Linked DNA regions of Arabidopsis thaliana. The protein of the gene in region 2 interacts with the protein of the main gene of each other region in a pairwise test. Each region holds a gene or a part of one and is shown on either strand. Other genes may lie near its edges. The genes, in order: ABF2, SHY2 and AT3G15440.

What was found.
Region 1: the proteins of SHY2 (region 2) and ABF2 interact in a two-hybrid assay, tested with the Arabidopsis thaliana proteins (one study listed by BioGRID).
Region 3: the proteins of SHY2 (region 2) and AT3G15440 interact in a two-hybrid assay, tested with the Arabidopsis thaliana proteins (one study listed by BioGRID).

The regions. Positions count from the first base shown.
Region 1 is NC_003070.9:17,164,506-17,169,717, forward strand, and holds ABF2 (abscisic acid responsive elements-binding factor 2), read right to left. Parts: upstream 3,385-5,212; 5' UTR 3,268-3,384; intron 3,237-3,267; exon of another isoform or gene 2,977-3,236; 5' UTR 2,956-2,976; coding exon 1,837-2,955; coding exon of another isoform or gene 1,684-1,836; exon of another isoform or gene 1,565-1,683; coding exon of another isoform or gene 1,520-1,564; exon of another isoform or gene 1,278-1,519; coding exon 1,206-1,277; intron 1,126-1,205; coding exon 1,096-1,125; intron 990-1,095; coding exon 915-989; 3' UTR 653-914; downstream 1-652. UniProt on the Arabidopsis thaliana protein: Involved in ABA and stress responses and acts as a positive component of glucose signal transduction. Functions as a transcriptional activator in the ABA-inducible expression of rd29B.
Region 2 is NC_003070.9:1,127,549-1,131,284, forward strand, and holds SHY2 (AUX/IAA transcriptional regulator family protein), read right to left. Parts: upstream 2,142-3,736; 5' UTR 2,072-2,141; coding exon 1,587-2,071; intron 1,505-1,586; coding exon 1,196-1,504; exon of another isoform or gene 1,092-1,195; coding exon 1,016-1,091; 3' UTR 601-1,015; downstream 1-600. Other genes in the region: AT1G04230 (rRNA-processing EFG1-like protein (DUF2361)), read left to right, coding at 1-125, 275-280. UniProt on the Arabidopsis thaliana protein: Aux/IAA proteins are short-lived transcriptional factors that function as repressors of early auxin response genes at low auxin concentrations.
Region 3 is NC_003074.8:5,211,214-5,214,336, forward strand, and holds AT3G15440 (RING/U-box protein), read right to left. Parts: upstream 1,294-3,123; 5' UTR 1,142-1,293; coding exon 710-1,141; 3' UTR 582-709; downstream 1-581. Other genes in the region: AT3G15430 (Regulator of chromosome condensation (RCC1) family protein), read left to right, coding at 20-349; AT3G15450 (aluminum induced protein with YGL and LRDR motifs), read left to right, coding at 1,837-2,042, 2,133-2,497, 2,595-2,785; AT3G15460 (Ribosomal RNA processing Brix domain protein), read right to left, coding at 3,066-3,123.

The DNA.
Region 1 (5,212 bases), about 16 Mb from region 2:
TTCTAACAAATTCAAAAGCATTAGTAACACAATGCTATATCGAAATGTTCCAAATTTCAAACATACATCACAATAAAACCCATTACAGACGTTAGTCATGAATAATTAACCTTTTATTTTGTCCTCGGAAAACATGGAAAGATAGAGTTGGGTAAGACGAAATACCTAAAGATAGTATTTGATTTTACACCGGAGACGAAACGAATCAACGAAAAACTAGGGTTTTGCAGGTGAAATTAGGGAGAATTTGAGCGACGAAGTGGGAGAGAATGAGAGTGAACACTTTCATTTTTAGTAACTAAAAAATCAAACCGAATAAGTCGGTTTTGGTTCGATTCGGTCATCGGTTAAATTGGTTCGGTTATGTATTTATTCTCCATGCAAATGATTAATCCCGTTTGGTTTGGTTATCGAATTTAGAGGAATTTTACTTTGATACATACATAAATTTCAGTACAAATGTTTACTTTGTGTAACTGTCGGTTCAGTGAACCACATCAAACCGACTCGGTTACCTCATCCGTCCGAAATGACCAAGGTTCGGTTCGGTTTGGGTTATAGTCGCTTGCCTAGAAGGCTAGAATGCTGTGTTGGCACAGGTCATAGTTTTGGCACTCAGAGAAACCAAACAACACTTCAATTCTTCAAAATTGGTAACTCCAAGATCAAGAAAGTACATTTTGAGGTTTAATAGCGACAACGACAAACAACAACGAGAAACACACACAAAATTCTTGGTCTAAATAAAGCAAAAGAGATTCTGATGATCCTGTGTATGTAAAAAACATAACATATATGGAGAGAGCTTACAATATAAACGATGAAAGCTCTTCTCTATTAAGTCTAATTCAACTAAAACACCTAAGTGGGATGTCATTTATCTACAGAAACTAAGTATGATGGCATTGATTGATTCACCAAGGTCCCGACTCTGTCCTCCTCAGCTTTTTCTTTGGACCTCCTTGCAGAAGATTCCTCATCTCCGTCTCCTGTTTTATACATAGCACGGAAACAAACAACCAAGTTTACAAGTTCAGCTATGAAATGTGCAGTTTAGAGATTCCAGTGTTGTTGCATTGGCATAAGAATTATTACCTGATTCTTTTGCATTTCCATGATCCTTGCCTGTAAAACATGAGGCGTACAATGAGAAATGAATGTAACGTATGAGCAACTGTGATGCTGAGACATGGTTTTGTGATTACCTGCTTTCGTTGTAACTCGTCATTCTCTTCCTTTAACTTTGCAACTTCAGCTTCAAGCTCCACGGTGTAAGCCTATGAACCAAAACAAGCACGACTGAGAAGCTTATGAGATAAAGACTAGAGTGCCATTCAAAACATTTAGACCCTCAAATGTAGAACTCAACAGTTTGGTCATAGTACATGTCAGATGTAACAGGTTTTTGGGAGCACCAATTACCCATTACCTTGCCCCAAAAGAAAAACCATGTCGCCACTACTCAGGTTTTGACGATGAACCCTCACTACTCATTTAAACTCTGAGCCACCTCATGACATTAGCAAATTACATTCCAGTATATTGTTTGGTCTGCCGTGAATATCTGCGGATGGGCAACATGTATATACACCAAAACCAGAAGGTTCATATTTGTTTGCGAGATTCATTCAGCCACAAGTACTGATTTCAAGTCCCAATAATTCTGTTTAGTTGTTTACTACACTACTTCACACAAGACACTTTACGCTTTGAATTCAACGCTTCATTGTGGTTAAAGAACTTAACTACAAGATAAGCTAACCAATTTACTTTACATATCTTTTGGCTTATAACACAATCAAGAGTACATAGATAGATGGTGATGAAGAGATTAACCTGTTTCCTGGCCCGGGACCTTGCAGCTGATTCTCGGTTCTTTATCATTCTCCTTTGCCTTCTCTCTACAACTTTCTCCACAGTGCCACTCTTTCTACCTCTCACACCACCATTAAACATGTAAGGAGACGGAGAGAGTGATGAAGAATCACCATTACTCTTCCCTATCCCTTCTGATGACAATGGCGTAACAGGCGACACAGCACCAACGCCTAAAGCTCCAGGAATTGCAGCAGAAGCACCTTGGACAAAGCCCACATTGTTCGTTAAAGACTGATCTCCAAGTCCCACAAGACCACCACCTCTTATCCCAGGACTATTAAGCTGACCCATTTGTGTTCCATAACCAAAACCAGGCTGCTTAGGCATGATTGGCTGTTGCTGTTGCGATTGCTGGTATGTTGTTCTAGCTCCATTCACATTCAGAGGCAAACTAGAACCTTGAACCTGCAAAGAATTTGCAGTCTCTGCACCAAGATTTCCCATTACACCAGCGGCAACAACTCGTGGAGAAGGCTGCTGAAACTCGACAGAGAAACCTGTGTTGGCATCATTACCAAAGTAACCGCCTTTATTGTTCTCAGCAATCTGAGCTCTTGCAGCAACCTGAGCTTCCTCTCTCACAACACCAGCACGAACCAAAAACTCCTCCAAAGTTACTTCACCTAATGTTTGCTGCCTCTGACTCTGACTCTGACTCTGAGCCTGAGCCACCTGAGACAAGTTACTTCCCCCTACTCCACTACTTCCAACTTTGGATAGATCTTTCCAAACTTGATCAACCGTCTTCTGACTAAGCGTTCGAGGCAGAGTCAACGAGCCTTGCCTCTGCAGCTGCAAACCCTCTTGACCTCCACCAAGAACTGGAACCACACCACTAGCCATGGCTTGTGTTTCTTCAGCACTCCATATATTCTTTAACAACTCATCCATGTTCATTGACCCAAAATCTTTCCCTACACTGCTCTGAAACTCATCAAACGTCAACGAGTATATCGAACCTTGTCTAGTCAACCCTCCACCTCCACCACCATCTCCTGGTGGCTCATTCCCCAAATTCATACTACCATCCATTTTTCTACAAAATCTGCTTCCACCTAATAACTGGATCTGAACCATGAATACAAAAAAAAATCCAAACTTTAGTTTAAAAATCCAAACTTTAGTATCAGAACCCTAATCTATAAATAAAAATCAAGAAATCTGCAAAACCCAATTCAAAAACACTAACAGATTTCAAAACTTTAATAGTCAAATGGATAAAAACAGATTAAACCAACAGGAGAATATGAATGCGTTTATGACAAGTATTAGGCACAATTAGTAATTTTATCCAAAAATTAAGTGTGGACATAAATCGAAAGAATTAAAAGAAGATGAACAAAAACCACAGTTTCTTCTATACACACAAAGAGAAGAAAAATCTATTACCTTTTTGCTAAATTCGTGTGCTTTGTAATTTTCCCAAAAAATTTCAAAATGTTTGGTTCTTCGTTTGGGTGATTAGGTAGTTTGTCTGGTGAGCCAAGTGTCTCTCTGGCTCCTAACAATCTTGAATAAATACTACTTTTGCTAATTATTTTAATAAAATGGTATATACTCTGTATCTTTGTATTTTGCGTCACTTTCCCTCTTCGTTTTTATTTTACTAATTTCACTTACTAATTGTTTTCCTTTTCAGGATTTATGTTGTTTTAATTTACTTTAGGTTCCTAAAATAAGTTGTTTTCACTTTGGAATTCCGTCCAAAAATCATTGTATCTACACAATAAATTAAAATGTTAAAACGTCTTTAAAATTGTAAAATTAAGATTGGATTATGTTTATGAAAATAAAGTATTATATACTAGAAAAGAAATGAAAATATTGTATTTTACATATATATATATATATATTAATATTATATCTGGCGAATTTGGATATGTTGACTTGGAAATTATGATATCTAGATCCAAATGTTGCTTGGACAAATCCAAATTGTTACTACCCAGATTTCCAAGTAATATCTAAATATTTAAATATTTTGAGAGAAACCAAATGATTTTTGGGTATGTAAACTTTAAAATTGTATTTAAATCAATTTGGACGGATTCAAATTTTTACTATTGATCTCAACACTTTGAATATCGGAAATTTTGGAAAGAATAGTGACAAATTCTTTATATCGGATTCGAGATAATAATTTCACTCTAACAATTGTGCTAATTAACCAATTAATATTTATTTGTTTAGGTACACATGGTTGCGGTGGTTGGAGAACAAAATGGGTTTGTAGATTAGACAACTTCTTATTTATCATTCACAAAATTATAATTTGTAGTGGTATATACAAAACAAAAAGAAAAAAAAACTCTATATACAAAATAATTCATATAGTTCTTACATAAAAAATTGGTATTATATATGGGTATAGTCCTAAAACTTCTCAGAAAGTTTACATATCAAAATGGATTAAAGTTTACCAATCAAAATGTTCGTTAAAAAAGAAAATATTGGTATAATTCCAAATTTTAATCCGATTTATCCACAATATCCATTCAAAACCTTAATTCTTTTTAAAAAAATCAGCTAATATTTTATTTCACCGGTGAATTGAAAACGCTTCTCCATCCTGAAGTGACAAAGGTCCAATAATCAATCACCTGAGTTTGTTATTTATGATCGGTCCACTTACTTCTTTAGTCCTCTGATTACAAAAGTTTTAAAAAAGAAAAAAGTAGTTGTAACGAAATAACGTGTCGCTCCATTACTGTCACAACCAACAAAAACAAAAACACGAACCAACCTCGATGAGACAGACACATAATGAAACCAAATCTCAGCCGTTGATTGTCGATGTAACGTGGACGAACACTATTATTTGCTTTCACATCGACTTTGTGTTTTGTGGGGGAAGATGTCAGAAACCAAAGAGTCTTCTTACTTTTTTTCCATTGGTCCACGTCTCTAGTTTTTAGTTGGGCTCACCTTCACATTATCAAACCCATCTTATTATTTTTTACGTTTAAAAATTAAATACAAGGACAATAATACTCTCAATTCACTAATTATAGTAGTGTTTTTTTTTTTTCTGCTAAAGTACATCATTGACTCTAGCATATAGTTTAATAAGTTTTGAATTTGCTTGGAAAAATTCTTTAAGAATATTCTCTTAACACAAAATTATATATACTTATGTTTTAACTGGTTGCTTTGCACACAAAAAATGGTTTTAACTGGTTGCTAATAGAATATTAAAGCCCTGCTCACAAGTGTGTACTGGTTCTCTCTACCTCTGCACATAAGTTCAATGTAACAGATATCATCATATAAACGCTAAAGATTTCAAGATAATGAACATATTAAAGACTTGTGATGGTTCTAATTCCTCATATCT
Region 2 (3,736 bases):
ATAGAAGAAGCCAGTCTTCACATGCTGCCACTAGTTCGCATACAAGTCAGAGTAGCAACTTGAGTTCTAATTCTGATGCTCACAAACCCAAGAGGAAGAGAAGGCCTAAGAAGAAGAAGCTACAGGTGAGTTTTCTCTCGACTCTTTCCTGGAATTCTGTTTCGTACTTTTGTTGAAAGTCTTATTGGTACATTTGCATCAATCTTTCAAACTCTATAACTAAAGAATCTGCATTTTACAAGCTGATTATATATTATTCGTTTTGCTGTTTCAGGCGTGAACAAGGTCTCTCCCGCCATGTCTGAGAAAACGAAGAAGCTCGTAACACAGTTCATCAATTCCAAAAGCTTCACTCATTACTACGGCCTGTCTAGTCTTACATCTTCTGATTGGATCTAATGCGTATATATATGTTGCCATGAAAGCAGAGAGGTAGGTGTCTGTTGTTTTTGGCTGATGAAATGAACCCTAAGCTTTGGGCAAAACGTATTTCTCATATAAGATAAGTTTTTTTTTTGTTTCTATTGATTTATGTTCATGTTGGCTTTGATCGAATTGTATTAATTAATGGGAGTAATCCAACCTCGACCATCAATAATATGATCTAAGAACTAGTGAACCAAAATAGAAAATGGGTATTGCTTGAAAATCTCTTTGATCAATGAGAACGCAAAACAGAATTGCTACAAATATAAAAACAACTCTTCAATCTTCATAACACTTTAATTAATGTAATACACATAACCAAAGATTTAAGGACAACCTTTTGCCCTGTTTCTGAAACAAAATGTAATTAGGTTCCAGTTTCATATGCTTAAGACCATTAAGCATGTTTACATTTGAATTTTACCGATGAGGTAAATAAAGGCTATGAATTGGATTCAATCCAATGAACATAGATCTTGCCCGAGAAACCCGACAACCCAAGCACAGACAGAGATTTCTCTGAACCAAAAGAAACTCTATTTTTCTTCAAGTTCTTTTGTGTCTCTGTTAGATTTCTTGAAGATATATCTCATACACCACAGCCTAAACCTTTGGCTTCTGATCCTTTCATGATCCTTAGTCTCTTGCACGTACATATGAACATCCTGCAACAACAAACAGAACCCATAAGAACACTTACAAAATTGTTGTTTCTGATTTTTGATTTTGTGGAAATTGTTTTCAGACAGGTATATGAAAGAAGACTTACTCCCATGGAACATCACCAATGAGCATCCAATCACCATCTTTGTCTTCATAAGTAGGCACAAAGTCTGAACCTTTATATCCATCTCTCTCAAAGTACTCTCCCACAGAGAATTTGAACATCACTTCTAAAGCTTTAAGCAACTCTGAGTATCCTTTGTAACAACTCAGATCTATTTTCCTCAAGTATGGTGCACCATCCATACTTACTTTCACATAGATTCCTTGACCCTCATGCTCAGATTCATTCTTCTTACTCTGAATGTTGTTCTTCCTGTAAGATCTAACTGGTGGCCATCCAACAATCTGAGCCCTGCAAAAAGGAAGAAACACGGTCAATCAACTGAATTCTCCACCACTACAGATTCAGAGACTTTTGTGTGAGTTTAACTTACTTTCGAGGAGGGGATGTTTCAGTTTTCCTTGATGATGATTCAATCTCCTTCTCAGTATCAGTTGATAGTACTCTCTTATTGTTGTTATTACAGCAAGAAACTCTCTCTTTTGCTTCACATACATTATCTGTTCCCGGTAATCCCAGCCTCAGCTCTGTTTCCTTGAGGTTAACAAACTCATCCATTTCTTCAAGAATTGCAGGAGAAGATAAAAAGAAAAGCTTTTGGTTATTATCCTTGAAAGAGAGGAGAGATATAGAGAAGCTGCTGATGATGAAGATGAGAGGCTTCGAGGAAGCTGAGTGTTTTATACAAGTTAAAGGAGAATAAAGATAGATACTGGTAGAGAGAGAAGAAACTGTTTTCTGAATTAAGGACAAAGGAAAAAAAGCTAAGCTTGTCGGTAGCAGTAACAGCAACTTTGAGGCAAAAGTGTGTCCCATCTTCTTGGGGACATTTGTGGGGACACTTTCTTTTTCTCCCATCTGTCCAAACCCAAAAACAAAATATTTTCATCTTTCTTTCTTGTGATAGACGGTCCAGATCAAATCTTCGAATCCCCCACCACATGTGGTATGCCATATGGGCATATCACCTCTCTCTATCTCCCATTAATAACTTATCACAACCAAGAAATTTCGGATCGTAAGCTCATAATCTTTTCTTACCAAGAACAACAACCGAATACATATTTTACTCGTTTTCTCAATAGATGGATGGTTAATTAACTCTATATGTAAAGGTAGCTAGTGTTCAATGTTTGGATTGTGGGTAGTTCAGATTTGATGAGTTTATTGACTTGAGATCATAAGTAATAATTTATGTCTCACATCTTCAAAAAACAGGTACTTTGGGTGTTGAAGAGCCAAAAACAGAGCCTACGTGACAAAATTACTTATTGTTCTTTACTGGGGTTTGTTAAAGCCCACAACTTTTGTCTCTCTGTCTCTAACCTATTAATCATGATCACCACACACACACACACACGTATATATGAATTTGAAATAAAACTGAGCATCACGACAGGACATCTTCCTTAAGGATCAACTAGCACAAGGCTTTAGTTAAATGTCAGTAACATCATAATGGGGTCTTGTAGTTTTGTTTTGGAACCTGAGAGATCTTTAACAGATTCTCGCTGTCTTTGTTTATGTTACAGCGTGGCATTGGTTGTATTCTACTTATATGGAGCTCCTATTGTAGATGTTTACGTCTTTGACATAACCTACTCGAATTGAACCGGATCTAAGTTTTGGCTCCATTTTTTGGTTTTCTCATGCATGGCTTTCGAAATCGAAGTCCGAATCGGTACTATGCAAAGAGTTGTTAAGAACTTATGTTATAACTTTACATTATACGTGTAACAATAATCCTAAAAGAATTTTTTTTTTTTTTTTATCTACATATATACGTACGTAGTGACTTTCAACAAGTACTAACGATTAACGAACATATTTCAACAAAATAAATTCATACAATTAGAGGTGACTGCTAACAGCTACTCAGTACTCATCACGCATTGATTTCTTCTGTACGGTGAGAAACATTCTCTTCTTGGTTCAGTCATAAATTACTAGATTCGTTTTCTTGACAGAACAGGTCATAAGTTTGAATTGAATTAATTGTATTTATACCAAGAAAAACTGATGGGAATATATATATATTTATATCATTATTTGTGAATTGGTCACAATATATAGAAGCATTTGATGACTAATATATGTAATATAAAGTTTGCACACACAAACAAATATAAAGTTTTTCCTAAAAAATTTATTTATAATCCGTCAGTGGAACGTAAGATAAAAAATAAATATAAATTAAATGTTTTGTATTCCCATATATATCTTATCCATAAGGAGTTAAAGACTTTTATTAGGCATGAATATCCGCAGGCTTTTCTCATTCACTATAGTATTATGGCATCATCTTTTATTTTTCTGCACTCATTATATGTCATACTGTAGCATACTTTGCAATTTAATTATATATATAAACGAATTTAGTAACTTATACTGAAAATAAAATGACAATGTCTTAGCTACAACAACTAATCACACAAAAATGATTTGTTTTGGTTTTTTAAAGGATAAATTAGACCATTAAGTAACAATCACGAATTTACTATAGTAGCAGTTAACGCAAAATAT
Region 3 (3,123 bases), on a different chromosome or scaffold from region 2:
ACTCTGCTTTTACTTGCAGGTGTGTGCAAGAAAAAGGAAGACTTTTGTTTTGGTGGAAGGTGGATTACTATATGGATTTGGGTGGATGGGGTTTGGAAGCCTTGGGTTCCCGGACAGAGGAGTTTCAGACAAAGTTCTTAGGCCAAGAGTATTGGAGTGTCTGAAACCACACCGTGTCTCTCAAGTTAGCACCGGTTTGTATCACACCATTGTGGTCACTCAACGTGGTCGCATTTTTGGGTTTGGAGATAACGAAAGAGCTCAGCTTGGTCACGACTCACTCCGTGGCTGCTTAGAACCTACCGAAATCTTTCTCCATTGTGGCCGTTCTCGTAGCCGGCTTTGTTGATCCAAGGTATAGATAAACAACCATGTTTGTATGAACCGGATTGAGATTGGATTTACCGGTTAGTGTATCTTGTATTGATTTGTATCTGTTTGATTTCTTCAAGTTGTGAGAGTAATAGAAGATATTTCCAGACACCTTAGTGCAGAGAATTATGACATGAGTTAATTAATCTAAGAAGTTTTACAACTTCAACTACATAATAACAAATACCTTAACTCTTGGTGATAGTAGATCCACTCAAGACTTAGCAAAATATCTTAGTCTTTAGAACATTATAGAATGTAAAAGTAAAAAACTGAAAACAACCTAGAAGCAAATGAAGGAATCATTGTAACGACCAAGATGCAAAAGAATAATAAATCACTCAACATCGATCTCATCATCTTCAGGAAACATGTGTGCAACAACTTCAATCTTTACTTTTATCTTCTCCAATTTCTCCAGAGGTGAATTCAATATGCTTTGAATTTCTTCAGCAAATGTTTTCATGATCCCTAGATACGGAGGAACACCAACATCATTGAGGATTTCGTAGATTGTGGCTTTGATTTGTTCTTCATCTTGACCAATGAACTCGTCTCGACCATATCTTTGAAGTTGATTTGTAGTCCTTGTTTTAACCTTACTGGACATGTAGTCAGATTCTCCATCACTATTTGGCTCAGGCACTTTTGTGTAGACAACTTCAAAATCAAACAAAAAAGTCTGACGATCTTGAGTTGTTTCTTTCGAATAATAGATTGGCGTCACCATACATGTACTATCCGATACATCATCCACAATACACTCCATAATCTCTATGCAATGATGGGAAAAAAAGAAGTTAAGAGAGAGTTAGGTTTTTCAAGCTATGAGAGTGTATAAAAAATATTTGTGTGAAAGGAAAATTGTAACCAGGAATGAGTAATTGTTGGGATTGAATACGAGATTTTAGGAAATAGTTACAATAGGAATTCTTCATTAAATTAGATTGATCATAACTACAAAAGTTAACATTCATACATATCGTTAAGGTTCGATGAACCATAAATAGATATTCCGATATTTAAAATATCTTATATGATTGTATTAATAAAATATCTCATATATTCAAAATCATATTTCACTTAACTATTTCGCTGTCAAAAAATATCCTACCACTTTTCCAACATGACAAAAAAAAAACATACTACTTTTCTATCGTGGCACGTTTAAAAAATCATATCATTCCAAAAAGATTTACTCGTCAGATTAAATATCTAATCATCATTGGATTCACAATTTGTTTATTTACCTACCAGACACTTTAAAAAAAAAGATTAACTACAGAATAATTTTGTCTAAAAAGAAACGGATAAGAACACGTAAGACATGTCAGTCTTATCTTAAAATCCAAGTCAGCATCTCGTGTAATAATAATCTCGTACCTTTATAAAACCCCTCATTGTCTTCAACAAAAACATAACACATTTCAAGCATTGGATTAATCAAAGACAAAGAAAACGAAAATGTTGGCAATATTTCAGAAAGCTTTTGCTCACCCACCGGAAGAACTCAACAGTCCGGCTTCTCATTTCTCCGGCAAAACTCCTAAACTTCCCGGCGAAACTCTCTCCGACTTCCTCTCTCATCACCAAAACAATGCTTTCTCTATGAACTTCGGCGACTCCGCCGTCTTAGCTTACGCTCGCCAAGAAACCTCTCTTCGTCAAAGGTATATACTAATATACATAAAACACATATATACAAGTCAAATCTCTAAATCCAATTCATAGATTCATAATGGTTTTGTTGTTTTGCTCAGGTTGTTCTGTGGACTAGATGGGATCTACTGTATGTTTCTAGGGAGATTGAATAATCTCTGTACATTGAATCGACAATACGGTTTATCTGGGAAGAACTCAAACGAGGCAATGTTTGTGATCGAAGCTTATCGAACACTTCGTGATCGTGGTCCTTACCCAGCAGATCAAGTTCTTAGAGGTCTTGAGGGAAGCTTCGCTTTCGTTGTCTACGATACTCAAACTTCCTCTGTTTTCTCAGCTCTGAGTTCTGATGGAGGAGAGAGTCTTTACTGGGGAATTTCTGGAGACGGATCTGTTGTAATGTCTGATGATATTCAGATCATAAAGCAAGGCTGTGCTAAATCGTTTGCTCCTTTCCCTAATGGTAAACCAAAACTTAAGTTTTTCATTAGCCCTATAAAGAAAGAAACATACTTTTGAGTTTAGATCTTGATGTGTGTTTTGTGTTTTTGTTATTGCAGGATGTATGTTTCATAGTGAGACAGGGCTTAAGAGCTTTGACCATCCGACTAATATGATGAAGGCAATGCCGAGGATTGATAGTGAAGGTGTTCTTTGTGGAGCTAGTTTCAAAGTTGATGCTTGTTCTAAGATCAATAGTATCCCTAGAAGAGGAAGTGAAGCTAACTGGGCGCTGGCTAATTCTCGTTGATTTTGCTTCTAGTTTCGTTAACTCTTGCTTCTTTGTTGCGTTTTCTTTTTATGTACTCTTGTTTATGTAAATATAGCCTTATGAAGACGATAAAGAAATAAAATTGATTTGCTTCTTCGTGACATAGCAGTCTTTACTTAGACAACTGTGTGATAAATTCGCAATCTCACTCTTTGATAGATAAGAGGGAGGGAAGAAAGCAGTGGTAAAGACAAAACTGTGTTGATTTTGTGAATTTAGAAGTTTACAATAGCAAAAAAGAAACTTTGGTCGACTTTTATCATTCATCGTTCCACATGTCTGTAAATTCATCAGGCTCCAATGGGTTTGAGAGTTCA